7 separate regions of the Mus musculus genome follow, and all the other regions are reported to be linked to region 6. The links are microRNA targets in miRTarBase. Many come from high-throughput screens and were not tested one by one. Region 6 holds a microRNA gene; each other region holds the end of a gene's coding sequence. Distances are from middle to middle.
The links. Region 6 holds the annotated microRNA mmu-miR-335-3p (UUUUUCAUUAUUGCUCCUGACC, at 2,700-2,721, opposite strand). A microRNA usually pairs through its seed, bases 2 to 8, with sites in the 3' UTR of a target mRNA and lowers its output. Matches are read on the target gene's strand: a 7mer-m8 pairs with bases 2 to 8, a 7mer-A1 pairs with bases 2 to 7 and ends in A, and an 8mer does both.

Region 1: the mRNA of Opn5 is a reported target of mmu-miR-335-3p. Seed matches in the 3' UTR shown: 7mer-A1 at 3,626-3,632.
Region 2: the mRNA of Cdc23 is a reported target of mmu-miR-335-3p. Seed matches in the 3' UTR shown: 8mer at 2,806-2,813.
Region 3: the mRNA of Rabepk is a reported target of mmu-miR-335-3p. Seed matches in the 3' UTR shown: 7mer-A1 at 3,371-3,377.
Region 4: miRTarBase lists Tmem255a as a target of mmu-miR-335-3p. Seed matches in the 3' UTR shown: 7mer-A1 at 3,139-3,145 and 7mer-m8 at 2,625-2,631.
Region 5: miRTarBase lists Ppm1k as a target of mmu-miR-335-3p. Seed matches in the 3' UTR shown: 7mer-m8 at 1,239-1,245 and 8mer at 454-461.
Region 7: miRTarBase lists Zeb1 as a target of mmu-miR-335-3p. Seed matches in the 3' UTR shown: 7mer-A1 at 3,788-3,794.

The regions. Positions count from the first base shown.
Region 1 is chr17:42,553,748-42,558,149 of GRCm38, forward strand. It overlaps Opn5 (opsin 5), which reads right to left. Exons shown (of 7, transcript NM_181753.4): 7 at 3,036-3,799. The coding sequence ends at 3,722. Among named protein-coding and RNA genes, the nearest start is that of Opn5, 55 kb to the right of the region's middle.
Region 2 is chr18:34,629,951-34,634,294 of GRCm38, forward strand. Cdc23 (CDC23 cell division cycle 23) reads right to left here. Exons shown (of 16, transcript NM_178347.4): 16 at 1,733-4,214. The coding sequence ends at 4,044. Kif20a (kinesin family member 20A) reads left to right here. Exons shown (of 19, transcript NM_009004.4): 13 at 52-216; 14 at 337-476; 15 at 572-674; 16 at 1,196-1,391; 17 at 1,571-1,662; 18 at 1,976-2,113; 19 at 2,351-3,327. The coding sequence ends at 2,665. Among named protein-coding and RNA genes, the nearest start is that of Kif20a, 7.2 kb to the left of the region's middle.
Region 3 is chr2:34,775,636-34,779,984 of GRCm38, forward strand. Rabepk (Rab9 effector protein with kelch motifs) reads right to left here. Exons shown (of 8, transcript NM_145522.4): 8 at 3,031-3,894. The coding sequence ends at 3,602. Hspa5 (heat shock protein 5) reads left to right here. Exons shown (of 9, transcript NM_001163434.1): 9 at 1-894. The coding sequence ends at 478. It also overlaps the pseudogene LOC115489640. Among named protein-coding and RNA genes, the nearest start is that of Hspa5, 5.7 kb to the left of the region's middle.
Region 4 is chrX:38,195,835-38,200,236 of GRCm38, forward strand. It overlaps Tmem255a (transmembrane protein 255A), which reads right to left. Exons shown (of 10, transcript NM_172930.4): 10 at 1,463-3,822. The coding sequence ends at 3,658. It overlaps Zbtb33 (zinc finger and BTB domain containing 33), which reads left to right. Exons shown (of 2, transcript NM_020256.2): 2 at 1-1,212. Among named protein-coding and RNA genes, the nearest start is that of Zbtb33, 8.2 kb to the left of the region's middle.
Region 5 is chr6:57,507,083-57,511,484 of GRCm38, forward strand. It overlaps Ppm1k (protein phosphatase 1K (PP2C domain containing)), which reads right to left. Exons shown (of 7, transcript NM_175523.5): 7 at 1-3,767. The coding sequence ends at 3,636. Among named protein-coding and RNA genes, the nearest start is that of Ppm1k, 26 kb to the right of the region's middle.
Region 6 is chr6:30,739,673-30,744,074 of GRCm38, reverse strand. Mir335 (microRNA 335) reads right to left here and starts at 2,776; the gene lies at 2,679-2,776. Mest (mesoderm specific transcript) reads right to left here. Exons shown (of 12, transcript NM_008590.2): 2 at 3,251-3,405; 3 at 1,855-1,934; 4 at 1,470-1,547; 5 at 1,223-1,359; 6 at 1,003-1,061.
Region 7 is chr18:5,772,586-5,776,987 of GRCm38, reverse strand. Zeb1 (zinc finger E-box binding homeobox 1) reads right to left here. Exons shown (of 8, transcript NM_011546.3): 8 at 1,520-4,402. The coding sequence ends at 3,922. Among named protein-coding and RNA genes, the nearest start is that of Gm34740, 120 kb to the left of the region's middle.

The sequences.
Region 1 (4,402 bases), not on the chromosome of region 6:
AAGAAAATCTACAGAATCAACTAACCTAGGCCTACAGGGGCTCACAGAGACTGAACTACCAAACAGAACATACATGGGACAAGCCTACACCCTCAGCATATAGGTAACAGCTGTTCAGCTCAGGCTTTGTGTGGGGAACCTAATAGCAGGAGCTATTAAGTATCTGACTCTGTTAGCCACCTTTGGGTCAATTTCCTCTAACTGGGCTGCCTTGTCTATCTTCAATAGAAAAAGATGTTCCCAGTCCTACTGATACTTGATATGCCAAGGTTGGCTGGGGGGAAGGATGGTGGGGAGGTGAGGTGAGGGGGAGAGATTAGGAGAGGATGGATGGGAAGCTATAATTAAATAAATTAATTAATAATAAAAAGAGAGTGTAAGAGCCAGGGGGTATGGAAGACATCAAGAAAACATGGTCTTCTGCATCAGTAGGATTGACTCACAGCACTTTCACAGGTCTGCTCCAGATGGGGTCCTAGAGCTGAAAGGAAAATGGGACATGCACCTCCATAACCCAGAAGCTTTCTCCAATTGATAGCCTCTTGCAAATGAAAATTTAGTTGTTCTCTAAGGGAGTCTCACTTAGGAAACAAACTACTCTTAATGTTAGGTTCCATTCCCAGCAGTAAATGACCAAGAGAAAACAAATTCATTGGCCTTTTTGAAGGTTCTTTGTCTCACAATTGTCATATCAGGTTTTTCCCCATTTTTAACCTTATCTTATTATTTTCATCCTTTTTTCCTTCTCTCTTTTTACCCTACAGATCCTCACAGAGTGTGTAGATATTATGCCTTCCAGTTTACTGTTTTTATGGGATTTCTGTGTGTGTGAATGAATGGTTTTCTGATTCCTGTGCCTTACCTTGGTTTTTTTTTTCCCTTCTGTTCCTTTGTCTTCTCCAATTCCAAGTGTTACTTTCATTTTATCTTATTTTTTTATTTCCTTTTATTTTCCTTTATTTTATTTCACTTTATCATTATCCTTTAGGACCCTGTTTGTTTTCTAAAGAGAAACAGGAAAGAAGTGGATCTGGGTCAGAGGGGATGTGGGGAGGAATTGAGAGTGGCTAGGGAGATGGGAAACTATAATCAGGATTCATTATGTGAAAAATAATCTATTATCGATAAGAAGAAAGCTGTCTCTTGTGAGACTATGCCGGGGCCTAGCAAACACAGAAGTGGATGCTCACAGTCAGCTAATGGATGGATCACAGAGCTCCCAATGGAGGAGCTAGAGAAAGTAGCCAAGGAGCTAAAGGGATCTGCAACCCTATAGGTGGAACAACATTATGAACTAACCAGTACCCCGGAGCTCTTGACTCTAGCTGCATATGTATCAAAAGATGACCTAGTCGGCCATCACTGGAAAGAGAGGCCCATTGGACTTGCAAACTTTATATGCCCCAGTACAGGGGAACGCCAGGGCCAAAAAGGGGGAGTGGGTGGGTAGGGGAGTGGGGGTGGGTGGGTATGGGGGACTTTTGGTATAGCATTGGAAATGTAAATGAGCTAAATACCTAATAAAAAATGGAAAAAAAAAGAAAAAAAAAAAAGAAGTGGTTCACAACCACCTTCAACACCAGGGAATCTGACCTCAACAGACACAGAATTTACATTTGTACACACATGCACACGCACACACACACACTTTAAAATAATAAAGTCTAAAAAAAAAGAAAGTAATAATAATACTTATTATTTTTGAACACTGGCAATTGCATTTAGAATCCCTCAGGTGTTTAGTAAATGTCCCGTCACTGAACTATATTATTAGACCAGAACATCTTTAATTTTTAAAAACAGTCTGAGTTGAGTTTTTTTTCCTTCATGCAGTAGTGGATTTCATACAAATAGTCGAGATCTTTCTTATCTCTGGCCTTCTCTTCATTACCTTATGTCACAATTTGAATATGAAGTGTCCCTCACAAAGGTTCCTTTGAGGACAGTTTGATTCCCTGCTACTGCTGTTGAGTGGAGATTGGGTCACCAGGGTGCTTTTTCATCAATAGTTCATACAAGGATCAAAGAAGCTTGATCCTTGTGCGGGTCATCTAGACAGCAAACAGAATAATCCGAGGTTCCTGTCTCATAACCATCTCATAGTTTTAGGGGTTTTGGTTGGTTGGTTGAATTTTGTTTTGTTTTGTTTTGTTGTTTAATTTTATCTTATTTTTATTTTATTTATATGTTTATTTATATTTTTTTCTCTCTTTGAACCCTCCAGGTTCTTCCAGTTTAGTTTCCTTATGGAATTGTGTGAGCAAATGGGTCTCTGCATCTCTGTTTCTTCGGCTCTTTTCCTCCTGTTTGTCTCATCCTATTTTGATTTTTATCTTAGTATATGTTATAAGAGGAAAGAGTTATTTTCAATAAAGGAGAAAAAAGAATAAGCTAAAAAAGAAAAAAGAAATATTTCCAAGGAGCTAGAGAAAATACCCAAGGAGCTGAAGGGATCTGCAACCCTATGGGTGGAACAACGTTATGAACTAACCAGTACCCCGGAGCTCTTGACTCTAGCTGCATGTGTATCAAAAAATGGCCTAGTTGGCCATCACTGGAAAGAGAGGCCCATTGGACTTGCAAACTTTATATGCCCCAGTACAGAGGAATGCCAGGGCCAAAAAGTGGGAGTGGGTGGGTAGGGGAGTTGGGGGGGTATGGGGGACTTTTGGAATAGCATTGGAAATGTAAATGAGGAAAATACCTAATTTAAAAAAAAGTGAAAGAACTGGAGTGGAAGGAAAGAGAATGAAGAGTCCTTGTTCGCTTGACATTGGGTACAAGACTCCGTAATAGGAAAAAAAAAAAAAAAGAAAGAAATATTTCCAATCAATGGGCATTTCTTTTTCCTAAGCCCGGTGGTTTTAATATCAATCACCATTATGGACAAATGGAAAAAAAACAATCAGTGCAATTTGGCTGATTCCCTTAATGTAAGTTCCTTCATTTTAGTCCTGTTAGAGCTTCACAATGTTGTTGATTCTTGAGACATAAAATAAGCAATTCCAATAAAACGAAATATGGCTCAAAATGTTGGTGCAATATATTTTCTTTATTTAAAAAAAAAAGGACTTGAACAGCAGCTATGGCTTCAAAAGAAAACTATTTCAGTGTGCAAAGAGAGATGGACAGAGATGAAAAGTACTAATGCATTCTTTCCTAGTACAGTCAACAAACTGTTCTTCAGTTCGACACACAACTGGGACAAAGTGAATGAGTCAAACACTAAAACATCTTCTGAATGTTCTCATAGAGAGTACTTACAAATACTATGTACAAGTTGACTTGACAGAGTATGCTGTTAGAAGCTTCCCAGATAAATGTTCAAAATTCTAACCGTGTACAAGAAGTGGTTGACAGTTTCAAAGGCATGTTCACAGTCATGAATGCATCGATAAGCTCCATTACTATCACGATGAATAGGAAGCTTAAGGGGTGATGCACTTCCCAAGCTTAGGATGTGCTTTCTCCTTAGAACACTTTAATCGTCTTATAAAGCCTAAAGAGTGGACACTTCACATGCTATGTATTCATGATTAAACTTCAATATCAACACTGCAGTCAACGCTGACCATATGTTTTCTCAAACTTAAAAACAAATGCAAAGAATACACTACAGCTTTTTTTTTTCAGCATTTCAAAGAGTATATTGAAGCTGGCCACTTATTTCTGAAGCCCTGATGGACAGGTGCGGGGTTTCTCGGCCTCAGAACACAGGTGCTTATTTCTTGCCACAGTCACCATCATTACTGTGACTCTCTCCATCCATAACATGGGCACTAGTAAATCTGGAACTGCTCTGTTTGAGAGAACAACAACATTTTTGAGGTGCACGTCTGCTAATGTCAGGCTGTCTTCACCAGCTTCCCATTACTAGTCACAGACTCAGAACGCTGTAGATAGTCTACAACCCCTGACCCACACTCTCCGAAGCCAGACTTGGATCTGTATGGATTTGCCCGCATTTCAACAATGATCACTGGAGCAGAAATGTTTAATGCTTACCTTAGGACACTCCAGGAAGATACTACAGATGAAGCCCAGTTCAAAAGAAGGAGCTTCAAGAATAGAGTCTGAACTCAGCTGAACTTAAAACTAGAATGAACTATGGTGTAATGCCTCTCTAGAAAATGAGTAAAGGCATTCGACTGATTTTGAAATAAAACCAGTGACCACAAGAATATAGTCAATTATTCAGAAAACTTCAAATATAGTGCAATTATTACCATATATTTTTAAAAAGTATTTTAGATGAGAGATGGATTAAGTACATATATATATGCAAAGATATACACATATATATGCACATATACACATATATATGCATGTACTTAAATAGATGAATGGATGATAAGTATATGGATGAATAGAGATGATAGAGAGAGAGAGATTTTTCCTTCAA
Region 2 (4,344 bases), not on the chromosome of region 6:
AACAAATAGCTCTAGTTAAGGAGTCAATTGAGATTTTTTTTCCCCTTCCAGCTTGTGCACGCCCCACCTGTGCATCTGGGAATCCCATCCCTGCATTCATTCATCAAGAAGCACAGTCCTCAGGTTGGCCCTGGCTTAGAGAAAGAGGACAAGGCCGACTCAGACCTTGAGGACAGTCCTGAAGACGAAGCTGACGTCTCCGTGTATGGCAAGGAGGTGAGGACACAAGGCAGTTCGGTTGTGGCAGCTTGGTGGCTGGACATGTGCTACAAGGTGTCCTGGTCGATATGGGGCTTTTTAAAAAGTGCAGGGGGGCTCATAGGTGTGGTCTTCTAGGAACTACTCCAGGTGGTGGAAGCCATGAAAGCGCTACTTTTAAAAGAACGACAAGAAAAGCTGCAGTTGGAGATACAGCTCCGAGAGGAAATTTGCAACGAAATGGTGGAACAGATGCAACAGCGGGAGCAGTGGTGCAGGTACTGCTAGCCCAGCCCCTGTGACAGGGACAGCAGTGGGGTGTAGGCTCTGTTCTCCAGCTTCACTCAGGATCCTCACTACCACTTTCTGACAGTGAGCGTTTGGACAACCAAAAGGAACTGATGGAGGAACTGTACGAGGAGAAACTGAAGATCCTGAAGGAATCACTGACAACTTTCTACCAAGAGCAGATCCAGGTGAGTTTATCCTGGCCAGTCTCAACAGCCACTCGGCTTCCATCATTTGGGTCAGAGCAAACAAATGTCTACTTTTACTCTGTCTTGAAAAACCAAGCCAACCAAACAAAAACAAAGTCCTGGAACTCACTCTGTATGTAGACCAGGCTGGCCGTAACTCAGATCCACCTGCCTCTGCCTCCCAAGTGCTTGGGACAAAGGCACACACTACCTACCACCACCGCCACTGCCAGCATCTTATGGGTTTCTGAGATAGGGTCTCACTATTGTCGCTCTGGCCAGCCTCAAACTAAGTTTTATAAACTCTAGAAAGAACAGTAGTATATACTATAATTAATGTTTATTAGGTTCCCTTAGTATCGTGCAGCTATTGAGTTTAAGTTGAGGGATGAGCTCAGTATGAAGTGTGCTGCAGGCTAACGTCAGCGTGAATGGTACGGACAGGATGCTTAGGTTCTTTTAGTCTGGTCCTCTGGCGTTTGTCTGACCCTGGACAACTGTGCTCTCTCCTTCCCTCTTAGGAGCGGGATGAAAAAATTGAAGAGCTAGAAACTCTGTTGCAGGAAGCCAAACAGCAGCCAGCGGCACAACAGTCAGGGGGGCTGTCCCTCCTCCGGCGGTCACAGAGGCTGGCAGCGTCTGCCTCCACTCAGCAGTTCCAGGAAGTTAAAGCTGAACTAGAGCAATGCAAAACAGAGTTAAGCTCTACCACTGCAGGTGAGGAAGGCAGGAAGCCCAGCAGTGAGAGTGGGCGAGGGAAAGCTGGCATTCAAACTCAGTCCTGACTCCACCTCTGGGTCATATCTACCCAGATCTCACTCTGCTGCTGTTAAAGCCCAAAGCTGAAAAACCCATGCATTAAGTGTTATCTATATGTCCTGTGTTTCTCCCCTCAGAGCTGCACAAGTATCAGCAAGTGTTAAAACCGCCACCCCCAGCCAAGCCTTTCACCATTGATGTGGATAAGAAGTTAGAGGAGGGCCAGAAGGTATTTAACCTTAATGTCTTTCAAAGGCCTGTGTCAGGGGTTTAAATGAGAATAAGGCGTTTTTCTTTTTGCAAGGGTCTGAGGAATGAAAGCCTTCTGCTTTACATTTATTTATTTGTATGTAGTGATGTGGAAGCCAGAAGAACGGTTCTCTCTTCCCACCATGTGGGTCCTAGATGTAACTCAGATTGTCGAGGTTGGGTGCTAAGTGCCCTCACCAGCTAAGCCAGCTCACCAGCCTCCGGCTTCCTTAAGTCTGTCTTCAAATGGCTGTTGATTGATTTTGGCCACAATCTGATTTCTACTCTTTCAGAATATAAGACTGCTACGGACAGAGCTCCAGAAACTAGGACAGTCTCTGCAGTCAGCAGAAAGAGCCTGTTGCCACAGCACCGGAGCAGGAAAACTTCGTCAAGCATTAACCAACTGTGATGACATCTTAATCAAGCAGGTGAGGGCAGCCTAGCCAGTGTGTACGTGAGAGGGAGAGAAGAACCAGTGAAAAAATAAAGCTAATGTCATATAAAGCCCAGGGCTTTCTGTATGCTAAGCAGGCAGGCACTCTACCACTAAGCTATGGCATTTCTCATTGCTAATGGTACCTGATCTCTTAAATGATAAATGTATGTTTTAAACTAAACATGGCATACCCAATAATTATGTTTTCTCTAACTTTTAATGTTCTTAGAACCAGACCCTGGCTGAGCTGCAGAATAACATGGTGCTAGTGAAACTGGACCTTCAGAAAAAGGCAGCCTGCATTGCTGAGCAGTATCACACTGTGCTAAAGCTCCAAGGCCAAGCCTCTGCCAAAAAGCGGCTGGGAGCAAACCAGGAAAACCAGCAACCAAATCATCAACCCCCAGGAAAGAAACCATTCCTGCGAAACTTACTTCCCCGAACACCTACCTGCCAAAGCTCAACAGACAGCAGCCCTTATGCGCGGATCTTGCGCTCACGGCACTCTCCTTTACTCAAATCTCCCTTTGGCAAAAAATACTAAAGTTGTGGGGATGAAGATGCATGGTTGTTGCCCTGAGGTTGGTCAGCTGCTTAGCTGATAAGTCTCTTTTAAGCTTCAGCATACACCCAGAACTGTATTCAGAATTATTGTATTATAATCACCTATGTAATCTTGTTTTTTTTTTCATGCACAAATATTATATGGAATAAAGACATTGTTTATGCTTTTATTTGGATTCCAAATTTAGAAAAATATAAAAAGGGGGACAGAAAATTGATATAAATACCATCTGGCCTGTTAGACCCTTGGACAGGAACAGCAGTGGGAACCAGCCTAATGCACACTAGGAAATGAGTACAATTTTAAATGATACCCAAGAGGCTTGGGTAGCTTTGTCTGGCCAGGAAGTTGCTATGTCAAAACACCCACCTGCCTGTCTCCAAATGGGATTAAAGACATGCACCACCACATGGCACCCAGTTAGTGTTCCTTCCATTAAATGGGGAGTAAAATGTTCTGAGTACAAGAGAAGGAAGGCTAGCTCCTAACCACAGAATGATCTATAGCACCTACTGCACAAGCTCATTGTAGCAGACATCAAGTGGCTCTGAAACCTAGAAAAACACAGTGAATTCTTCAACCTTGTAGATAAGGTTGAAAACCAAATTGGAGACTTTAAAATCCGAAGTAAAAAAGCTTCCATAATGTCCACGAAGTTCTCTTCTTGTGTTGCTTCATCACATATATATATAGTTAGCATGGCCACAGCGGCCATCTGGCCCTCATGTGAGCCACAGTCCATACTCACTGACTCACTTGGAAGATTTTAGAAGGCTGCTTTGGAAAACTACACAAGATCATATGGATAGCTCCACTCTAAACCTAATCTCTTATCCGAACAGTACACTCAGTAACATAAAGGTCGTTCTAGTTAGGCCTCACTCAGCATTCGCCTGTAATGCTATCATTAGGGAGGCTGAGGCAGAAAGGCCACAGGCTAGGATACACAGAAACCCTGTCTTTAAAAAGAAAGTCACAGCTGAGCTCCCTGCATGCAGAGGACAGGCACCAAGCATGGTGAGCTTCGCTCCGTTCTTGTCTACCCCTCTCAGCAGCGCCGAAACCTTGCTTCTGTGGCATCACTGCTGGTTAAGTGTTGTAAAAGGGATTCCTTGGGGGGTTGGGGGAGTGGCTAGAAAGGCCAAGACCTGCCACTCTGAATAGAAGGGAGCACTGCTAGCTGGCTGCAGAAGACCATCTTTCCCCCACCATATTTCTGCCTGCCTCTGAAGGTGGTTCCATAGGCTGTCCCTCAGGCTGTTTCTGTCTAGGTCCTTGGGAAAACAGACGTGACTGCTCTTTACTGCAGGTAAGGTTTGATATTGGTCTAGCAATGTGCTGACGTGAGGGTAGTCGACTATGGTGTGACTGAAGACAGGTTGAGTGGAGAAACTCTGCGTGTAGGAGTGTTGTTTGCAGACAGTGAGGCAGGGAGGAAAAAGGTACCCGGCGTGTCAGAGGTGGGTGTCTCCCCTTGGTTCCTCAGCTGTAGGATCTGGCGGAGCAAGGCCTTACCTTCTTCCCGGGTCTGAAACAAAGTCACAGCTGTTTCAAAATATATTCAGTGCTAATCTCAAAAAATGATTATTAAAATACTGTTCAGATCATTCCTTACAAATAAAAGGAGTTCTGCCCCCTTTTCAAAAATGGTACTATTT
Region 3 (4,349 bases), not on the chromosome of region 6:
GATTGAAGTCACTTTTGAGATAGATGTTAATGGTATTCTCCGAGTGACAGCTGAAGACAAAGGTACAGGAAACAAAAACAAAATCACAATTACCAATGACCAAAACCGCCTGACACCTGAAGAAATTGAAAGGATGGTTAATGATGCTGAGAAGTTTGCTGAGGAAGACAAAAAGCTCAAAGAGCGCATTGACACCAGGAATGAATTGGAAAGCTATGCTTATTCTCTCAAGAACCAGATTGGAGATAAAGAAAAGCTGGGAGGTAAACTTTCTTCTGAAGATAAAGAAACCATGGAAAAAGCTGTAGAGGAAAAGATTGAATGGCTGGAAAGCCACCAGGATGCGGACATTGAAGACTTTAAAGCCAAAAAGAAGGAACTAGAAGAAATTGTTCAGCCAATTATCAGCAAACTCTATGGAAGTGGAGGCCCTCCCCCAACTGGTGAAGAGGATACATCAGAAAAAGATGAGTTGTAGGTGCACTGATCTGCTAGAGCTGTAATATTGTAAATACTGGACTCAGGAACTTTCGTTGGGAGAAAATTGAGAGAACTTAAGTCTCGAATGTAATTGGAATCTTCACCTCAGAGTGGAGTTGAAAATGCTATAGCCCAAGTGGCTGTTTACTGCTTTTCATTAGCAGTTGCTCACATGTCTTGGGGTCAGGGAGAGGAGGAATTGGCTATTTTAAAAATTGAGAAAAAGGTGGGTCAGGGTGTGTGTTCACCTTGGATATGGTCTATTTAACAATTGGGTCATGCACATGTGGTGTAGGAACTTTTTTCTACCATAAGTGACACCAATAAATGTTTGTTATTTACACTGGTCTAATTTTTGTGAAAAGTTTGTAATTATATCCATCTTTTATTTTAGATAACTAAAATTTAAGACTGGATTCTCAGGTGTGTCTTTCTTCGGTGGGCAGGGAAGTGGGGCTTGTGATGCTGTGGGGTGGTACCACTTCTTGGAGATTTATTTAGCTTTATAACAATGTAGAGATGTTTGCTGTTTACTCCCCTAGGCGAGGGTTATTTCAGGATGCCTAAGTCCAATTCTTTTGAACATGGTTGAAATCATACTTCCCCTTTGTAAAATTGCTTTCTGGGCTTTTAGTTTTTTCAAGATAAGGTCTTTAGCTTTGTCTGTCCTCGAACTCAACACTGTAGACCAGGCTGGCCTTGAACTCAGATCCACCTGTCTCTCGATCCCAGGTACTGGGATTAAAGTGTATACCACCATGGCCCTTTCTGACTTTTGTTACAAGTAGTGCTGTGGTACTGCCTGGAATCTCTTAATAAATTGATCATGTTCCAGGCTGTGTTTAGTCCAAGCCCAATCTAGGGATCTGAGGCTGGTGCATGCTCAGTGGTGAGCGTTGCCTAGCACTAGTGTGAAGCCCTAGTGTTGTTAATCCTCTGGACTGGAAAAAAATTTAAATATACTTGTATTTTATATTTTGTGTGTACCCACAGGCCTGTGATATACTTAAAGAGTCCATATCACTGGGTAGTATTTGGTTTGTAATTTATATTTGAAGACGTTTGGTTGAAAGTTATTTAACAGCTTGAGGATTTACTTATCCAGCATGTATGAAGCCCTGGATTTATTTGATACTCAGCACCACATACTGGATGTAGTGACTCAGGCTGGAGGCAGGATTAATTAAATACTAGATTCAGTTATGTAGTTCATGAGAGCTACATGAACCAAAACATGCTCTGAAGCCTAATTGGTCAGAACCCCTTTTTCTAAAATGTCTTACTGGTATAGGGATAGGGTATATGGCAACCCTGATATTACAAACGTCAGTTGATGGTCAAAGGATTGGTTGAGAGGATTGTTTAGACTGGCAACATCAGGAGAGTAATGATCTAGGTAATCTATATGATCAATGAAGACTTTTCTTGTGTGTGACTACATTGCAACTCTTTATTAATAGTACATTTGGAAGGAGATAAGGCAATATGTTTATACTGTGGTTATCATTTTCCCAAGATCAAGAAGCCAGCTTGGTGGCTTTAAGATCTTCTGAGGCCTGTCTTCCCCAGCTGTAGGCAAAAATCCCTGGGGTTTATCATGATCTTGTAGACTGGACACTTGACTTGGCTCAGTTGGTCAGTAGAGTGCTCTACTTACTACTCAGATTTAGATGTCTAAGGCCAAATATGGTCAAGGACTCAAGGTTAAGAATGATTTGCTGATCATAAAGATGTATAAAAACCATCTTCTGTTAGAACCAAATAATGGAAGCATACTTTTTAAAATTGACTTGTTTATTTTTGAGAGTAAGTCTTGATCAGTGAAGATTTTTGTCCAGGGCTAATGTGGTATGGGAATTGAACTCAAGACCTTCGGAAGAGCGCTGGTGCTCTTACCCACTGGGCCACTTTGCCAGCCTCACCCCCACCCCGTCTCACTTTTTTTTTTTTTTTAAAGATTTTATTTATTTGAGTCCACTGTGGGTATTGGATTCCATTACAGATGGTTGTGAGCCACCATGTGGTTGATGGGAATTGAATTCAGGACCTCTGGAAGAGCACTGCCATCTCTCCAGTCCCCGTCTCACTCTTGAGATTCATTTTTGTACACTACCTGATACACTTTGAACCCAGCTTGGGCTTGGTAGCTCATGCTACTTATTTCTTCACTCAGGAGGCTGACTGAGGCAGGATTATAGCAAGTTCACAGTTACACCTTGAGATTCTTTCTACATCATCTGTCTTACTCCCATTCATACTTCCTAAAAGGGGAGAGAGGAGCATGATATAGTACATGTCTGTAATCCTAGCACACTGGGACACCGAGGCAGGAGGATGATAAATTTGAGGCCAGCCTATGCTGTCAGATTTTTCTATCAAACACAAGTATTTGGGGCCAAGTGAAATGTTAAAATTGATTTGTACAACTTCATGCTGGGTCCAGGGATGGTTAATAACAAGAGCCAGTCCTCATCCTTTGTCCCCCATTACCAGCAGGGTCCTACTACATAGGCATGCACCACCACACCCAGCTTTTCTTTTTCTTTTTTTACTTTTTTTTTTTCCAGATGGGTAATATGCCCACACCTGAACAAGGTTTAGGGGAGGTACATATTCTGTGAACACCCAGTCATTGTGATTATGAACCAAATAAGGATCTCCCACACTGCTCTTGTAACTGCTATCTTTCTAGCCTCCTGCCTGTACTTTTTTCTAGTGATTCGCTAATACATATTAAAGAGTGTCTAACTCGTAATTGTCTACTCCAATACCTAGCTTGGGTATCTACAGATTTTATTGCTGGTAAAACTTTATAATGGAATTATTTGCACTAGGCTATCCAGTTAAAAATGTTGATTAAGTGCAAGATGGATATGCTTTTTATGTCTGGTTTTTCAAGACAGGGTTTCACTATGTAGCTCTGGCTGTCCTGGAACTCACCACGTAGACCAGGCTGGCCTCTGCCTCCCAAGTGCTGGGATTAAAGGTGTGTGCTACTATGCCTGGTGTGCACCACCGCACTGGGATGAGAGAATATATTGTGCAAAAAGTATTTGGCAGTGTAGCTCGGCAGAGTTTTCACTTTTGTAAAAAGTCACAAGTAATACAAATGTGGGCTTTATTAGTCCACTACAGTTACGAGACAGTCGTCATAAACCTCCCCTTCTGTGTTCATCCCACCGAACACAAAGCAGAGCAACACAGTAGTTGGACTCTCCTCGTGTGGTCCTCCACTCTGGGTCTCTGCTTTCTCAGCAGCGTCCCCTTTCTCATCTTGGAGGGTTAGAATGACAGAATCTGAGTCTTTATTCTCAGAGGTAGACATCACTGGCCATGGGATGACACACATGGAGTGGTCCAGTCGTCCAGCGGGTAGGGAAGTGTCAAACTGAAGTACAGTCCAGTGCTGCTTTTCTGAGTAAGGGGGACAAAACAAAGGCTCCTGTTAAGACATAGTTCCACAGGTATTCAGTGATGTTCTACATCACTTAAGCCACAAAGAGGAAATAAAGGGAAAAACAGGTTGGGTCTGACAGTGTATGCCTGTAATCCCAGCACTCAGGACTCACAGGCAGGAGGATGCCTGCCTTTGTCAGACCCTGTTTTTCTGTGGGATTTTGTGTTTTTGTTGTTTTTGTTTTTTTAAATACGTACGTACACTGTGTGTGTGTGTGTGTGTTTTGGTAGAGTAGAGTAGGACCACAAATGTCTTCCTCTGTCCATATCTGTCCTATTTTCCTTTGAGGAAGGATCTCTCACTGAGCCAGAAGCTGCAATTTCAGGTGGGCTGGCCAGCCAATGCGCCCTGGCAATCGGCCTGTCTGCTCCACAGTGCTGGGGTTATAGGCGCACATGACCATGCCTAGCTT
Region 4 (4,402 bases), not on the chromosome of region 6:
TTACCAAGAGGTAGAATGCTGTACATTTATGTTTTGGTTTTTGGTAAGCTTAAGCCTACCATCATAAGCTAACTCTTAGAAAACTTAAAATCACTTTATAGCTCAAGACTCTGATTTCTCTCACAATATTCATTTCCTTTCTCTGTAGCTATTGATGGCACTACCTTTTGAATATAGGGTCTGCTCAAAAGCAGCTCTCAATTGAAAAATGTGTTTCATGAATGCAGTCTCAGCAGTTAGACATAATTGCTTCTACCAGTGTCGGTGATAAGGATGTTTTGGTGTCAACTGCTAGGTAAAATCAGTTTGTCATAATAAGACTTGCTAATTCCTACAAGCCTATTACAACAAACTGGGAATTTTATAATGAAAAACTATCTGTTCTGAATAACATTGGTCAAATGATTCACTACTACTGCTGTGCTCTGCTCTGTCAAGTCTCTAATAAGAACTTTTAAACTTTGTGCCTACTGAAAAGCAGCTTCTAGAGTTTGCAGGGAGGACAAGAACTAGAAAGTTAAATTGTAATTTTGCCAGGAAGACTCTTCCATGTGTTCGGGGATTTTTTAAATAGCTTTATATATCCAACCTTGAGAGGTTTTTGTGGAATACTCCTCTGGACAATAACTCTTTACTCCTAGCCATTATTAGATTGGAATTTTGTAGCAAAATGCTATTTAAAATCTACTGTGAATATTTTTCTACTTAGCTTTCTGACTACTGATTTTTTTTTTTTTTACTGTTCTTTCAAGTTGGCTTCAATTTCACTCAACTTCTAAATTATCTGTAGTTATTTTTGGTAGAATCTATTTGAAATAGTAAATTTGTTCAAAGTATAAGCCAACATTTTAAAAAGGTTATAGCATTCTTGCAAGATTAAATAGGGATAATTTTGTTATCATTTTGGTGGTCACTATCCTCCACTCAGAGTCACTGAAGAATTTGTTCAATTGGGCTAAAAAGATAAAAACAAATGAACCCTGCTGTAGGCATTTAAAATGTTATAGTGTGTGCATTTTGAGGAATTAAATGTAAATTCAATAGCACTGGCTTCTTTACCTCTGTTAGTCATATGAAACCTTGTTCATTTCCCCAATTACTGTACATTTTCATATTTGTACAATCTTCCTTATCATAAGTTCTGCTTTTCATTAACTGTTACCTGATATTAGTTCATAGAGTTTATCACAAAATAAAACATATTCATTCTAATTTCTGAGTGATTTTTTTTGCAAGATTGTGGTAAATGAATTGAATAGTCTTTCAATCCTATTGTTTCATGGTTTTTTCCATAGCAGGAGAGAAGCTGTATTTGTGATGACAGCATGGCAGAAATTGTCATTAGGTTCTGTGTTTTGGTTAAGCACGTCCCATTGTTTCTTGAACCATTGCAGTTAAAAGTAAGTTGGCATTGCCAGTTGTTTTAGAGTGCCTGCTGTACTTTTCAACACACCACGAGAATACCTGTAAGTGGATAGGGAAGATAATTTTATTAATTTGAAACATCACAAAAGCTGTCTGGGTTTCCAACGTGGCAGTGATACAAATTTTAAGCAACATCTATTTTATACAGGTTTTGAATTAATATTTTAATATTTCATGCCAAGTTCAATACTTTAGAGCAGAATTAGGAAGAAAGCAGTAAATGTTATAAAATGCCGTCAAGATACATTGGAAATACAAATTCCTTCATTACAGCAAATGTTTTGCAGAAGAGTGAAGCAGCAAATATAATTTTTCCTAAGGTAGCATGCACTTGATATAATTCAATGTGATTAAAAAAAAAGCTGCTCAAATTAAGTGTTACAAAATCTATACTGTTTCAAGTTATTTTGTAAAGTAAAAAAAATACATAGAAATGAGTCATAGAATCTTAACACTTTAAGAAATGTGATCATAAAAGATATACTTTGTAATGGTGCCTTTAAAATACACACATTCCCTACAGCAAGGGGTAAAGTGTAAGTGAGAAGAAAAAACCCTTAGGTATCTCTATAAGTCAATTGATTATTAGTCCTTTTTGAAGCCCAATAGAATTTTAATATGTTCAGAACTGAAAAAATAACAGTAATTTTGTGTAACATAAAAGGATTGTAGTCTTTTGGATTTGAAGACTGGATAAGAGACATTGAAAGTTAAACTGAATGTTTTGCAAACATTTACCGTAACAGTGAGTGCACTTGTTGTGCCTTGGTGATTCTTGATGACCAGGTGTCTACAAGGTAGATGGGAGCACCAGCATTGGTCTGCTGCCTCCAACCATCAAAGAAGGGAGGCAGCGAAATGGGCTGGAAATGTTTCCAGTGTGTGTTCTTGTGTTTGCAGAACTGTCTAATTAGGCGTCCTCTGTAGCTCCTGTACTTTTACATAATACAAGTGTAGGATTATCAATCTTCTTTTAAACCATTTCTCAGGTTAAAATAAAATCCCAGTGAATGTGTTCATGCTGGAGTGAAGGCATGGGTGCTAGAGTCTCAACAGTTTGATGGTTTAAAGCTCTGTATCATTAAAACAACTATATAACTACCACACTATGCCCGGTGGACTTTTAAATGCGTAACACTTAAGAGTTTGTCAAGTTGGCTATATTTGAGGTCTTGAAGACTTGAAATGGCATTGTAGCATTTTCATAATCTTGAATTGAATGCTGTCACAATTGATCTCAACAGAAAAAAGGGACCAATAAGAGCAGTGGCATTAAAATACAGATGAGTTTTCAGTGGTGGGGTGCAGGACCGTGCGGTTTGCTGGGGTGAAAGCACAATAGCTGAAGATTAAATAGTCACAAAGATAAGTAACAATTCATACCACGATCCAATCTAATCTAGCATTTTTAAACTCTGAATTTCAACTGTAAGATGTCTATCTCCAGTAGCAAATGTGTTTTGTAATAATGCAACATATAGTAGGAACACTGTCTCCTAAGTTGCCAGATGTATGCTGAGATCTACCGAAAACAGCACACATGTTGCTCTGTATTTCCGTGCTTCTCCATCAGCCGGTCATGGTCTCTCACCACTCAGGAGAAGGGACTCTTGCACTTTTCCCCTTAGGAGGTACCAGCCACAAAAGCTGAATGATCACAACAGCCATTTTTACACGACTTGGAGAACAGAGTAAAGAGATTGGCAGCTTTTTTTTTTCAATATCCAGACACGAGCAAACAAAAAGCCACAACTTTCTGTATTGGAACTACTGTGTAGCCCAATCAGCTACGAAATTTTCCTAAGAGTGACATCAATTGTAGGGAAAGATAGAGCCTATAGACCAGGTGATTCAACCAAGGTGCTATCATAGTCATCTACCAAGGGCCCGAGGACTGCTGTCGTTTACTTAAAGTGAAACAGATGGCAACCACACTTGTACTGTATAGAGGCGGAGCATCAGGAAATGCGTATCTGAAGAAGCCATGCTTCTTGCTGGACTGGCTCCCCAGCCCTGCTTAGTGAACTTGCTTTCTTCGAAGTACTAGGTTTGGCCTAGCCAATCCTGTCCTTCCTTGATAATGAGTAAGCTTCATCCCTATCTTTCCCTAGCTTGGCAAGCTGTTGTAAAACTTGATGTAGAAGAGTCACACTTTAGATGTAACCTACACACTTCCACTAGAGCAGAAATACAAAAGCCACAATAATCTCAATAGCCGACAGGTATTCCTCTTTAAGGACTGTAAGGTGGTGGCTTTTCAAAAGGTGGGTAGTAGGGTGGAGAATAACGGGGTGGCGCACTGGAGGACCACATGTAGCTGGGTGAAGGAGAGGGCGATTGGGGCTCCTGCTCATCGGAGAGTCCAGAAGGAGGAGAGGATGGAAAGACACCGGAATGCTGTGTAACAAAGAGAAAACAGCTCAGGCAGTGAGTTGAGTGCAGTTCCTTCCACAGCCATTACTATTTAAAATGAATATACACCAAATGTGCTCCTGTTTAGGAAAATAGCCCTTAAATCTTATGGTATCGGTAAAGGACATAAAACAGCCCCACATCAAGTTATTCGGACTGAAAACACTGGGAATTTTCCTCCCTTGCCCCTTCAACTCTGCATCTAGACAGTTACTCGATCCTGTTCTGCTGTGTGGCCTCTTGAAGACATCACTCCATTTTCTGTGTGTCATTCAGCCCATGAGTTCTTCTCTCCTACGCTATGATTTAAGCCTTATGACTAGTCTTTCAAAATGTCTGGGTTTAAGAATGTTTGATGAGGTAAGTAACTGATCCCTAGGGAAAAAAAAAAACTTTTCTGTAAGAATATGTCATTGGGATGTCTAGGGATCAGGGGTCCAAGGTTAGACAAATCAGTTGGCTTCCTTGGGTCCCGGGGTGTGAAGTCCTGTTCCATATAAACTACCATTCCTTTCATTACCCATACACGCCATAGATCAGAAAACAAGGCTTAACAAAGGCATGG
Region 5 (4,402 bases), 27 Mb from region 6:
AACTTGAACTCCCCAGGTCCCACCCTGAAACATTCTCATAACATGAAAACCTGTTGTTACCATGAGATTAATTCCATATCCAGTCTTAGAAAATTAACTAATAGTCAAATTTTAAATAATTTCTGTATTTTAGATTATATGCTATTACCTCTTCAAAATAAAAATTATTAAATGATATAATATGGGAAAGTTCATGTCATATAACAATCAGAAGCAAAACTGACCCCTCCTAAGGGATCCTTTGACCCCAGATGAGGACCAGAGCCTAGATTTGAAGCAGCTAAGAGACACAAAGAATCCTAACACATGAACAGCTGACAGGAAGCAAGACACATTTACTTCTGAATTGACAAAAGACTTAAGAATTTAGGATTATAAACTATCACAAAGGATTATAATATACTCTTTAAATTACATTTTAATACAAAAACTTAGAAAATAAAGACACATGTATTTTTCATATTAACATGTAGTTTTATCAGGTTTGATCTTAACAAATGTGTGTTAAGAAAGTCTACAGGAAAGGATGCAGCCCAGTCCCTATGGAGAGCAGCACTTTTTATGCTTAATCAAGGGTGACTGAATTTGGGCTTTAAATTTCTTTCAGGTAGAATCAGGCATGAAAGCAGATGCCTATAATCTCAGCACTCAGGAGGTTAAAACAAGTCTGTCTAAACACACACCTACACACTCCTAACCTCACCGCCACCATCAAAAGCTTTTTCCAGAAGAAACAGGCTCAAATGCGCCCAAGGCCATCATCTACAGATTCCTCCTTGTCAGGTCTGGAACTCGCCTTCATCTATGAATGACCCTCAAACCTCTGAACATCACAAGGTCATTCTCAATCCTAGTTTCAAAGTAAAGGGGGGAGGGAGACCAGCAATGTGAAGAACACAAAACAGAAACAAATAAGACACACCACGTTGTCATTTTTAATGTTTGAGAATTTTGTTGTGCATATTAGTTTACAAGTTCTCCATACTCTTAAAAGTTGTTTTCAAGCCAGGATGTGGTGGCACATGCCTTTAATTCCAGTACTTGGGAGGCAGAGGCAGGCAGATTTCTGAGTTCAAGGCCAGCCTGGTCTACAAAGTGAGTTCCAGGACAGCCAGGGCTACACAGAGAAACCCTGTCTTGAAAAACCAAAAAAAAAAAAAAAAAAAACACCAAAAAAAAAAAACACCAAAACCAAAAAACAAACAAAAAAACAAACAAACAAACAAACAAACACGTTGTTTTCATAACTTTTCAACACCAGACTCAACAAGAAGGCCTTTAAGCTCTGCTAGTCTCCCCATTCTTCCTCGGACAGTGAGCACGTCCTCTACTCTCTTCCGTGTATTTTGTCCCTTGACCTGGGCTCTTGCTATTCAGGATGACTGTGCCCCAGCCTCCCCAGATGTTGGAACTGCACATGTAAGCTAACATGTCTGGAAAAGCATTGTTTCTTTCAACTGACATCCATGAAAAGACCTTAAATTCTTTTTTTTTTAATTTAATTTAATTTTAGTTTTTAAAGATTTATTTATTATTATATGTAAGTACACTGTAGCTGTCTTCAGACACACCAGAAGAGGGAGTCAGATCTTGTTACGGATGGTTGTGAGCCACCATGTGGTTGCTGGGATTTGAACTCTGGACCTTCGGAAGAGCAGTCGGGTGCTCCTAACCACTGAGCCATCTCACCAGCCCCCTTAAATTCTTTATTGAGAACTTATTCTTTATTTCTACTAAATATTTTAAACAAAAGTTAAAGGCAGAAAACATGTCAGACTTGAAGGTATATATATTTCATTATTTTTCCTTTGTTTTCTGCCATAAAATTCCAAGTCACTTTTGACATTTCCTGTTCTTCTCATATCCCATAACTTTATATTCGAATTACCACACAACGATATGTCTGCCTCTGTTCTTTGGTTATCCACATACGTGACACCTAATAAAATGTCTCTTACAGCCATTTGTTGCTGATACTTTGTTCGGGGAGACAAGCTGTGGCTCAGGCTACCGTGGAACTTGCTCTGTAGCTCAGGCTAATTTCAAAGTTACCATCCCGATTCTCTTGTCTCCTCCTTAAGTCCTGAGATTATAGGTAGAGGCCACCAATACTGGCCCCCATATTTATTTGTAATCCATAGTGGTTATCTACCAGTAACAACTGAATCTTTATTACAGAGAATTTGACACTCAATGTTATTGAGTGTCCTTAGAGATAAATATATCAATAATTTACAGCTAGCTGATAAATGCGCCACAAGATTGTTCCCTTTAATTTTATATTACTTCAAAATATACATATATACACTCACTGCACATATACTAAATTTAAATTACCCTGTGAAAATATAGATTAACTACAAGCACACATTCAGGGATTCACAGTTTGACAGTAATTTTATATGCAGGTAAAAAGGAGTGTGGTTTTACACCCCTAATTTACATAGCAAGCTGACATGTTTGAATATCCTTTGTAAAAGATTTTTTTTTCCGCATGAATCTTAGAAATGAGGAAATTGGAGACATAAACCCCAAGCTATGTCTATAGCAGTATAAGTCATTGTAATATTATCTTTACTAACAAAGGCCCCAACTCGCTTACTGTGTGCACAGAAAGTGGTATAAAAACGCTACATACAAACCACACAGCAACAAACTTACACAAGATTGGCACTGTCAGTGTTTCACTTTACAGATTTTGACCAAAGCCTCAGAATATTCTTCTCTGGAGCTTACCGAACAGTTACCAATATATAGCATATTTAACTCCACAAAAATAGAAATGGATGGGGAAGTGCTAAAAATATTTAAAATACACAAGAGAGCTATTTATAAATATGTATACACTTTAGCCATGTATTTTGCAGGGTTAAATTTACTAATAAGTGATCCAGAGTACACTATTCAGTCATAGAGAACCTAGGCTTTATTATAACTCCTAGGTACATTTATTAAAATGTACCTTGTATCCCTTTATCTCTTATATCCCTTGTATCCCTCCCTTGGAATGCCCCCATCTCCTAGGTATATGTTCTCACTCTTCTTGGGAAAAAATATGCTTGTTCTGCTTTAAAAAAAAAAAAATTAAAAGGTACTCAGGAAGCTGACGTTAGGAAGACCATTTGAACCCAGGAGTTCAAGGTCAGCCAGTGAAAACCTGCTTTCTACAGAGAAAGGAAAAAGGAACACTTGCAAATAACACATTGACCAGCTATCAAAATTCAAAAAAAAAAATACCTGTCCAACTGAATAAAGAACAAACTTACTAAAAAGAAACTAAATCTGCCTCTTAGTCTTAAAAACTTAGAAAGCCCCAGATTCAATCTCTAGCCTTACAAAGGAAACACAGATTCATCACTCATCAAATGGACCAAAACCGCTTCTTCTCCCATTCAGCTCAGAGATGCACAGCGGCTTCACAGCTGTGTTATGATGCTTACACTGAGCATGTGCAGTTGACCATAATGATGATGAGGATTTATGAAAATACTACTGGGTATGTGGCTGGTAAGCTTATACTGTTAGGATCGATCAGTCACAATGACACACGGGTACAGGTGGCCTTCTGTGTGTTACCAGTTTCTTGATAAGCCCACTGACACTGCTGCATAGGAACTCCGAGTCTGAGCTGTCGATCAGGCCCATCTCCCACTGGAGGCAAAGCTTCTGCTGAATGAGAAGGTAATTTCAGAGTTCTTGTATTTTCCCCAAGCACCAAAGGGCACCACTACTGCAGTGCTGTTGTCTTCGGTACCGTACTGTATTGCCTGCAGGAGTGGGGAAGAAGAGACAGGCGCTGGAGTCAAGGGACCTTGTGCAATCACACAGCATCCTTTCTCTGGAAGGCCAACTGGTTCTACACACACTTTACGATACAAATGTAACTACCTAACAAGGTTTGGAATGGTTTCACCCTGTAACCATGTGCCATATGGTTATTAAGTGCATATGAATTTCAGATGGTTCAACTATATCCTATGCTCCACTGTAGCAATCTTGGCAATAGAAATTACCTGTGCTCCCAGTGAGGACACACCCAAAGCCCTTAGCATGGTACCAATTATGGGCAAGCCTTAATAAATGCTGATTCTTACCAATGAAACTGCTGGTAGGAGTATAGCCCAAGAAATGGAAGAGATTGGGTGAGGGATAAAAAGGAACAAAATATAGGAACATCTTTGTATGAAAGTGCGGCTAGAAACCTACCACTGTATAAGCTACCTTAACATTTAAAACCTCAGAAATGGGTATGTACAAGGTTATAACAAAAATGTTTTTAATATTCCTTCTTCAATGGGAAAGTGGAAATAAATGAAATTGCCTGCAGCAGGATTATAAATCACTTTTAGGGACCAGTTCACATAGATGAGTGCTGGTCAGCAGTGTTTGGAAGTGCTGAGAG
Region 6 (4,402 bases):
ATGCTCCTCCATACCGCACGCACGGCTGCCTATGCTTACACTCCCTTCAGCTCACCCCAGTGCTCAGAGCACAGTGGTAGTAACAAGCTCATCTGCAAACACGTGTATGTTTCTGTAGGTAGGCTCTTGTAAAAGAAAAATCACTCTTTGTTTCCACTGATAAAGGGACGGACCCACTACCCTTGTCCCAGGCTGCCCTGGAGGCATTCAGGTTGGGGCATTTGGGCATTTCTGGATTAATGAGCATCTCCATGATAGAAAAGATACACACACACACACACACACACACACACACACACACACACACAAAATCCCAAAACTTCCAAATGGTAAGACTCATTCCCAGCTGGCACCTGGCACTACCACCAATTAAGAGTTTATTAATGTAGCTTACCAGCCAGATCAATAGAATCACATTTGTGATAGCTCCTTTATTTTTTGTTTTTGTTTTTGTTTTTGTTTTCAGGACAGGGTTCCAGGCCCTGGCTGTCCTGGAACTCATTATGTAAATCAGGCTGGCCTTGAACTCAGAGATCCACCTGCCTCTGTCCCCCAAGTGTTGGGATTAAAGGTGTGCACCACTGCACCTGGCTCTTTAGAAACAAACAACAACAACAAAAATGTGTGTTCATTGTGCTTATGTATATATTCGTGCCAAGACACATGCGGAAGTCTGAGGACAGCCCAGAGGGATCAATCTTCTCCCACAACGTGGGTTCCAGAATCAAAGTCATATCCACAGACTGGGCAACAAGCCCCTTCACCCATTGAGGCTCCTGCCATCATGGCTATCCTTTTATTTGCTATAGATTTGAAAATATGTATTCCATAAATACCATCAACCATGAAAACTACTCATGGCACAATGAAGGTAAAAGATGCCCGATATATGGTGTCTGTTTATAATATCAGATTATTTTTAAATTTTTTTTCTTGTGTGACTTAAAAGGGTGACTTTTTGAAACTACACCCTACTTTTCCACCTACCACCAAGGCAATTACCTCCATTCGACAGACAGAGACTCTTTATGGTGAGCCGGCCAGATCGATTCTGCTTGTACCTGGAGCAGGGCAAGAAAAAAAGACACATGTAGCTCAGTAACTGACTCCCCACAAGGGCTGCAGACGACCCCTAGAGGTGTGATGGTCCCAGAATACTTGAGTTTCCCATTATCTAAAGCTACGACACCTGTGCAGAGGACAGAAGTCCGGTTTCACTGACCTGTACAGCAGTTCCTGAGCAACGATATCTCCATAATCGTGAGACAGCAGGTTGATTCTGCGGTTCTGGAGCCCCAGGTGCCGCAGAAGGGACTCTACGATGCTGGCCTGCTCAAATATGGAGTACTGATGTGGTCTCTGAGGAAAGGAAAGCCAGAGATACAACATGATGTTAGCAGTGCCTGCCAGACCCTCATTTGTACCCACCCACCTACCCCCATCACGGACCACACCCAGCTGCTGCTTACCGGCTTGTCACTGAAGCCAAAGCCTAAGAAATCAAGGGCGATCACTCGATGGAACCTCAGGGTCAGCCCTTCCCAGATCTGTTAAGAAAGCAAGCATGGTGAGCACTCTGCTCCCACTGCCCAGCCCCACAGCAAACAGGCCTGCATGCCACTGTACGGAGAGCGTAACTCCAGCTTTAATTTGGCAGTGTCCCTTTCTGCAGTCAGTATTTTACTCCCCTTACAGTACATAAAAAGCAATTCTACATTTAATGAGATTTTATCAAACAGTTCAAATCTGCAAAAGAATTCTAGGGCTGACCAGAACAACAACAACAACAAAAAAAATATCTTGAGTTTTGAGTATTTTTTTTAGGACATAAGCCAGACCTAGAAACATTATTACCTTGTACCAGTCATAGCTGGATGTTGGAAAGCCATGTAAAAGCACAACTATCTCAGGGCTTCCGACCACACCGACAGAATCTAGGAGGAAAATGAGAAATGAGGCAAACTGCATGCAAGGCAGCCTTGACGACACCAAAATCTAATCCAGTCAAAAGGATCAGACTAAATGAATGACATCACCATGCTGTGTTAGAAAGCAAGCTGACAGGACTTCAGGAGCTTCCTCCTAATCTGCGCTTTTAAATCGTAATGGCATGCTTTACATGAAAACCCTTAAAACAGTTTGTTCATCATCACTTAAGAGTTGTGTAGACATCCTCATATTTTCGCTGACATTAATATAAAACTCAAATTTTTAAATAAAAAGGAAAAACAGTTAAAATACTATAATCACAGCAAGCTAAAACTTCTTTGTCCCTAATCAATATTTATCACACCTAATATCTAAGATGTGACAGTTCTTCCCAGTGGATCACCTGAGCTTATACCATTTGTCCATATACTAGCAGAATTCATGCAACTCAAAAAATCAAACTGTTACAAAGATGGGCTAATAGTGATGGGAACTTTTTCTGTATGTGACATATTTCAGATTATTCAAACAATAAAATACCTTGCCAACAGTACTGGATTGAAATTAATACTGCTAGTGGAATAAAACTTTGGTAGCATGTTTTCAGAAATTATTTAATTAAAAGCAATTAAAATATCATATACTGGATTTAACCTAAAGAACCTATGCAAATAAGATGTAACACTGAATATCAAGTCTGGGAAAGAACAACAAGCCAACATAAAAAAAAAAATGCATACTTACTCGACTGGCTATAACCCATGAGAGGGGGTCAGGAGCAATAATGAAAAACGGTTTACGAAAAACAAACATTTTTCGTTATTGCTCTTGACCCCCGCCCAAAAGAAATCTTTTCCAATCTGTTTCTCGGTTTCTTCAGCTATAAAATGAGGTTAATGGCACCTATCTCCAAATGCTGTTGTAAAAATTAAGTGAAAAATGAAATAATGAAGGTTAAAATATAACTGAATATCCTGAGTGTGGTAATTAAATAGCAGTCATCAAGTCAATCTTATCAGCTACATATAACAAATCACGGAAAATAGTGCATGAATTTGGGAATGGGGTGGGGCGTGGGGGAAACAAAGGTATAGATAGATCTCGAAATACTATATAGCTTACCTGACACTAGGGGCGCTCAAAAGAGAAAAGTAATTTCTCAAATACAAATGGGGCTGCAATTACTACCAGGCACAATTCTACCCCCACCTTCACCTCACCTTCACTGTGGAGCAACAGACCAAGGGACACAAAATAAGTAACTTCAGCTGAAACCTACACGACCCACGTCCTTGGGATTCTCCAATAGCCCAGTTCTCACCTTGGTAGAAGATGCGTAGGCCTTTGTAGGTGAAAAACTTGCCAGAAGTCTTCCATGAGTGCAGAGCAGGGGAGAGCTGAGGGGGCGGGATGTGCAGGTACGCAGCCAGCAAGGGCACAGCCAGGAGCCCTACTTGGACCCACCACTCTCTCATCCTGTGGAAAAAGCAGCCAAGGTAACATTGTACACTTCCAAAAATCAGAATGAAACATGGGTGGGAAACCTGGGCACTGTGAGGTTTGACCCCACCCCCCATCCCTCCCCTCCCCTCCCCACCCCTTCCCACTCGACCCCTCCCCTGCCCACTCCACCCCTCCCCTCCCCACTTCACCCCTCCCTTCCCCACTCCACACCTCCCCACCCAACGTGACAATGGCATAAACTTTACCAAGAAGAATGTGATAAACACCTTTACCCTTTGACATCTGGCAGTCACTGTACTAGCTCACTACCATTCTTTCCAAGCACATATGTAACTTACTGCATGGCCTTAAGCAGAGAGCTGCTCCTGGGTTCTAACACATACATATCCTCTGACCAAGTGAATCCCCATTTGGCACTACTGTCTGCATTTGGGCTATGGAACTGTTGAGGGGAGAGACCAGGAGAATTCCAGTAAGCAGCTTTGCCCTGACCCTGAATATCTAATCTCTTACAAGTCTGGGCAGCAGATTATATTTGTGCATTCTTAGCAGACTCTTGAGGTGGTTCCCTTTTATTTAATTAAGACCCCACCCCCACACCTAGCACTCAAGACTTTTGTGGGGGGGGGGGGCAGGAGGGGGGGGGAAGCACAGATTTGTGGCCCCAGCTTGCCATGCCTGGATTTCAAAGGTCCAGATCAATTTATCCTGGAGGCGAGAAATAAGGCACGATTAGAAACCATTTCCTTTGTGACCCGCCATGGTCACCAAGGAAAGGGTTCTCTAAAGAATTGGGATAGTGCCTCCTAAACTAAAGCTACAGACATTAGGAAGTGAGCTACAAATAAAACCGCTGTCTTTGTATTTGAGTGCACCCTATACATAACACATTACCTGCAATTTGATGAAACTGACTGGGTTTTTGTGTGTGTGGGGGGGGTGTTCTCTGTAAACCTGAAATGGTGGGTAAAAACCAGCACCCCTTAGGAACCTCAGCTGCCTGCCTCAA
Region 7 (4,402 bases), not on the chromosome of region 6:
GAGGTTGACTTGGTTTACATGGCTTTTTTATGTCACGGTTTTCTCTTTTCCTTATTATCGGCTCTCTCCTGTTTTGTGTTTTACTTGTACAGTTTGAGGTGGAGGCTTGTATGAGTCCTTTGTTCTCTCCTGTTGTCAGCATTTAACACTGTGCCTTCTCTTGTACATATCACTTAACTTTATACTACAATTTTTGACATAAGATGCCATCATTGTGAGTCATATTTTTCATCAGGAACAACTTGATATGGCTTTGTAATAATTTAGATGATTTAAAAATGTATTTATTACTGATCTATGGGTGTTTTAAAACAATTTTATGATTAGTTTATGTGTGTGCATGAATGGCATGCAAATGCTGGTCTGAGGACAATATTAGAGTTGGTCTTCTCCTTCCACTGTGGGTTCTGGGATTCTGGAGTGCTAGGGATGGAACTCAGGTCGTCAGGCATTCTGGGTGTTTTTTTTTTAACCACTGAGTAGTTAGGCTGGTTTCCATCTCAAAAGTGAGAATTCTGTTATGCCCTATGTTTTTTCCCTGTAAATGACCCAGGAGTTATTGAGGTAAATAAATGTGTGTTCTGGGTGAATTTGTCTTTACTGGGCAGAGGTGTGTCTGTAGGTCTGAAGTTCTGTCAGAGGTAGAATTAATACATGGTTGCTTTAATATAGCTTCCCGGTGATCTCAGGTGGAATCCAGGATTAGATTTCTCTGTGAGTTTAACCCCTTTCCCTCCCTTAGGCTATCTTTCAAGTTTGCACTGGAAACTGAGAACAATCCCAAGTCTCCACCTTCCTCTGCCAGGATGCATGCTGCTCTCAGGGGTATTTTCTATTCCTCTTGCCTAGGGCTAGGCCAGGAGAATCCACCTCAACATGACATGTGATGCAGGCTGGACAGAGACATGTCCTTGGAGTCAGACAGGTCTGTGTGCAGAGCCCCATTCTACGTCTTCTTCATGTGGCTATGGCCATATGGCTTTCCCAGGTAGTTTTAAGGCTCTCTGAAACATAATCTTGATAAAAGCAGCAAGGCAGATGCATCTCAGGACACCAATGCCACTCTTTCCTGGTGTGAGGGGGCACTGGAAAGACCTGCTCCCTGATAATGTGGTTAGTTTCATTAGCCTTCTAGGCTCACGGATGAGGCACCATCTTCTCCAAGATTTACTTTCATGAGTAGTGGACATCCCCTAAGAATGGTACTTTAGCATCTCATAACCTTTACAGTACATTTTTTTTTTGGTATAGCTGGTGTTAGGGACAGGAAATTAGGCAGTCTGCTGACAGTGGACACAGGGGAAGTAAGGGCTGTGGTGTGGGAAGATGGGGAGCACACAAGATTGTAAGAATGTGGGGTCCTGGCATAGGATGTGTGTCCTAACTCTGTCAGAACCAGGTCTATCAAGTATTTTCGAGGTAGTCCCTCCCTGAGCTTTCAATGCCTGTACCCCGTACCATAAACTTGAGCACCCGAAAGACACCTAGAAATAAGCTCTCCACACATCACAACAACAGAGCAGCTTCCAAGGCAGTCATTTATTACATCTCCTATGGTAAGTGCCTATAAGACTCAAACAAGACCACCGGCACATTATGGGAATCATTTACCTTATGAACTTTCAGATTAGAGGCAAAACAGTGAGCACAGCTAAGCTCTGCAAATGTGCAGTTTCTGTGTTCATTCAATGAATGTCTGTTGAGAGGCAGTTCATGGGCAGGGGGCACATGAGGCATGACCATGACATGGGGAGGAACATCAGTGACAGTCCTTGAGCTGAATGAGAAGGGTTCAAAGAGTGGCAGAGTACAAGCAAAAAGCATCTTAAGCTTGCACAGCCCTGATGTTCCCTGAGGGGAAGGCTCTTGCTCTGTGGGTTTTGGAAGAAGGGACAACCTGTGCAGAGGGCTTCCTCAGGGAATTTCCCCCACAGGAAAAGGCATTCTTTGTGCTAAGTGTCTCAAATACTTTGTGTCAACAAACTCAGCTCAAGATGAATGAAGCTCTAGGATGTAATGCCCACTTCATAGACAATTTTCCAAAGGAAATTTGATGATCCAAAGAACGACAGCAGGTCAGGTTTGTTGATGCGTTTATTGTGAGCTGGGGAGTCTGGTAAAAAACTAGAAAATGACCATGGTGTAACAAGGAACTTAAAAGGAAGAGTCAGATTGGTAGCTTACATACATGGATACAGGAACAAATTGGCACATGTTAAACATTGTTCCCAACACTGTTTACAGAAGGCAATTCTAATTTGGCTTGCTAAGGGAATGAGTTATGGCTGGGCCAACTCTTAACAGAAGACTGCAGAGCGGCATGCTATGAGTCGCACACAGTGAGTGTCAAAGTGTAAGAGTTTCCTATTAAAAACTGGGGAAAGGGAGAATGACTTGATTGTAGTTGTAAAACTAATACCTTCCCATTTAAAGGCTGGTCTACAGTCGGAGGCAAGTATAAATGTTAACAGAACACTGTTAAATCAAATCTCAACGCACGGGAACCAACTGCATCTCTACTGTAAATCTTAGCAACTTTCCAAAATTTCATACTAAAATATATTATTGTATTAATACAAACTACAGTATTATACACTACACTGTGTAATAAATAAAGAAATATAAAAATAAGACACATAAATATAAAAGTTTTCTAAAACTAAAAGTACGTGTCAGTAAGAAGGGTATTAATACTGCCAGGCTTAAAGACATACAGTACAAAAATGTTGCACAGATCTATAAACTAAAAGAAATAAAATAATACTGGTAGGTAAAAATCAGCTGCTGTTGTTCATCACCTGGGTCCGTAATAACTAACATTTGGAAAACGGCTGTGAACCAAAAACCAATAGCGTATCCATGCCTGACACGCAAGTACATGGATTAAGTAGTTTGGAGAATTTCCCTTTTATTTCTGTAGAGACTTCTGAGAGTCAATCAACATGAAATGACTACTGAGGAACAAAAGTGTGAGATGCCCCAGTGCTTCAGCTTCTCTCACAGTCAGTGGTTTTGAGTTTTGTTTGGGAATTTTGACACAACAAACGAATCAACAACTGCTAGTTAATATAGGCCACACTGCGGGAAGGCTGTCAGAGCCTTGCAATACTGAGAATGGCACTTAGAGCACAGGTCTTGCTTAAGGCCAAAGGGACACAGCGCTTGCTTCCTATAGATCCTTCATGGTTGCTAACGTACGCAAACAATCACGAACACTGATTCTGCCGCCTCTGCCGGCCTTGCCACATCAACACTGGTCGTCCCTGGAGTCAGGACTCAACGACAACCTTTGAACTCCATTTAAAAATCACACGAGTAAGAAACTCCAGCTCTTCTCTGGCTGCTTCCTTAAGGCTAGCAATACATGTTAGATGGCAACACGGCATCTAACGTCAGAGGTCCTATCTCCTGACTGACTGGGTAGCAGCAGGTAGCCAGCACGGTTTGAACTGCTTTCTACTGCTCTGTGAAGGGAATTCTGTAGTGCAGAAGTTCTCACATTTTAAAAAACATAATAAAATACTGAAGCGGATTTAGCATATGTTTACCAATAAAAAAATTATAAAATTTCTCCCATTGTAGAGCTTAAGAATGAGCCAACGTAAGAGTGATAATACTGCTAGCCATGCCGGACGCCCATCCAGCCTCCTGTAACCTGCTGAGAAACCTTTGTTTTCTGAGTCATTAATGTTTTCTAAGCTGCTTCATGTTATAAATTTGTTCCTAACTTTGAAAACTGCATGAAAAATTACTAGGTTTGAGGTTCAGGCACACCCGGAATTTTTTTTTTTTCAGTTCTGACATTACACAGTAGTGAGCAGGAACCATAGCACAGGAGCCATGGAGCCATGTTTCCATGAAAAGCGTGGGTAATATAGAGCAAATTTCATTACCAAGTAGAATTTCCTTTTAGAAGAACTCCTAAGCTTCATTTGTCTTCTCTTCAGACAGCTGCTCACTCTCGCTTTCGCTCTCCATCTCGCTCTCGCTGGCCTTCTGCTCTAAGCTGCCTGCCTGCTGTGCAGCTCCAACCTCCACTGTACCATCAGTCTTGGCTGCTGCCTCATGCTCGGCTTCATCCGCTTCCACTTCCTCCTCTTCCTCCTCTTCTTCCTCCTCTTCCTCCTCCTCCTCCTCCTCCTCCTCCCCCTGTGGGTTCTCACATTCCTTTCCTTCCTGTAATTCTTCCATCTCTTTATCTTCCTCCTCCTCCTCCTTTTCACTGTCTTCATCTTCTTCCCTTGTCAGACTTTCTCTCTCGTCCGAGTCAGCCTGTGAGGGAGACGCCCGGGCACCAACATGCTCAGTCGCCAGGACTTCCGGCAGGACTTCGGGCCCAGCGTCTTCCTGCTCCATAGCATCTCTGTCTTCAGCTCCTCTCTTGCAGTAGGAGTAGCGGTGA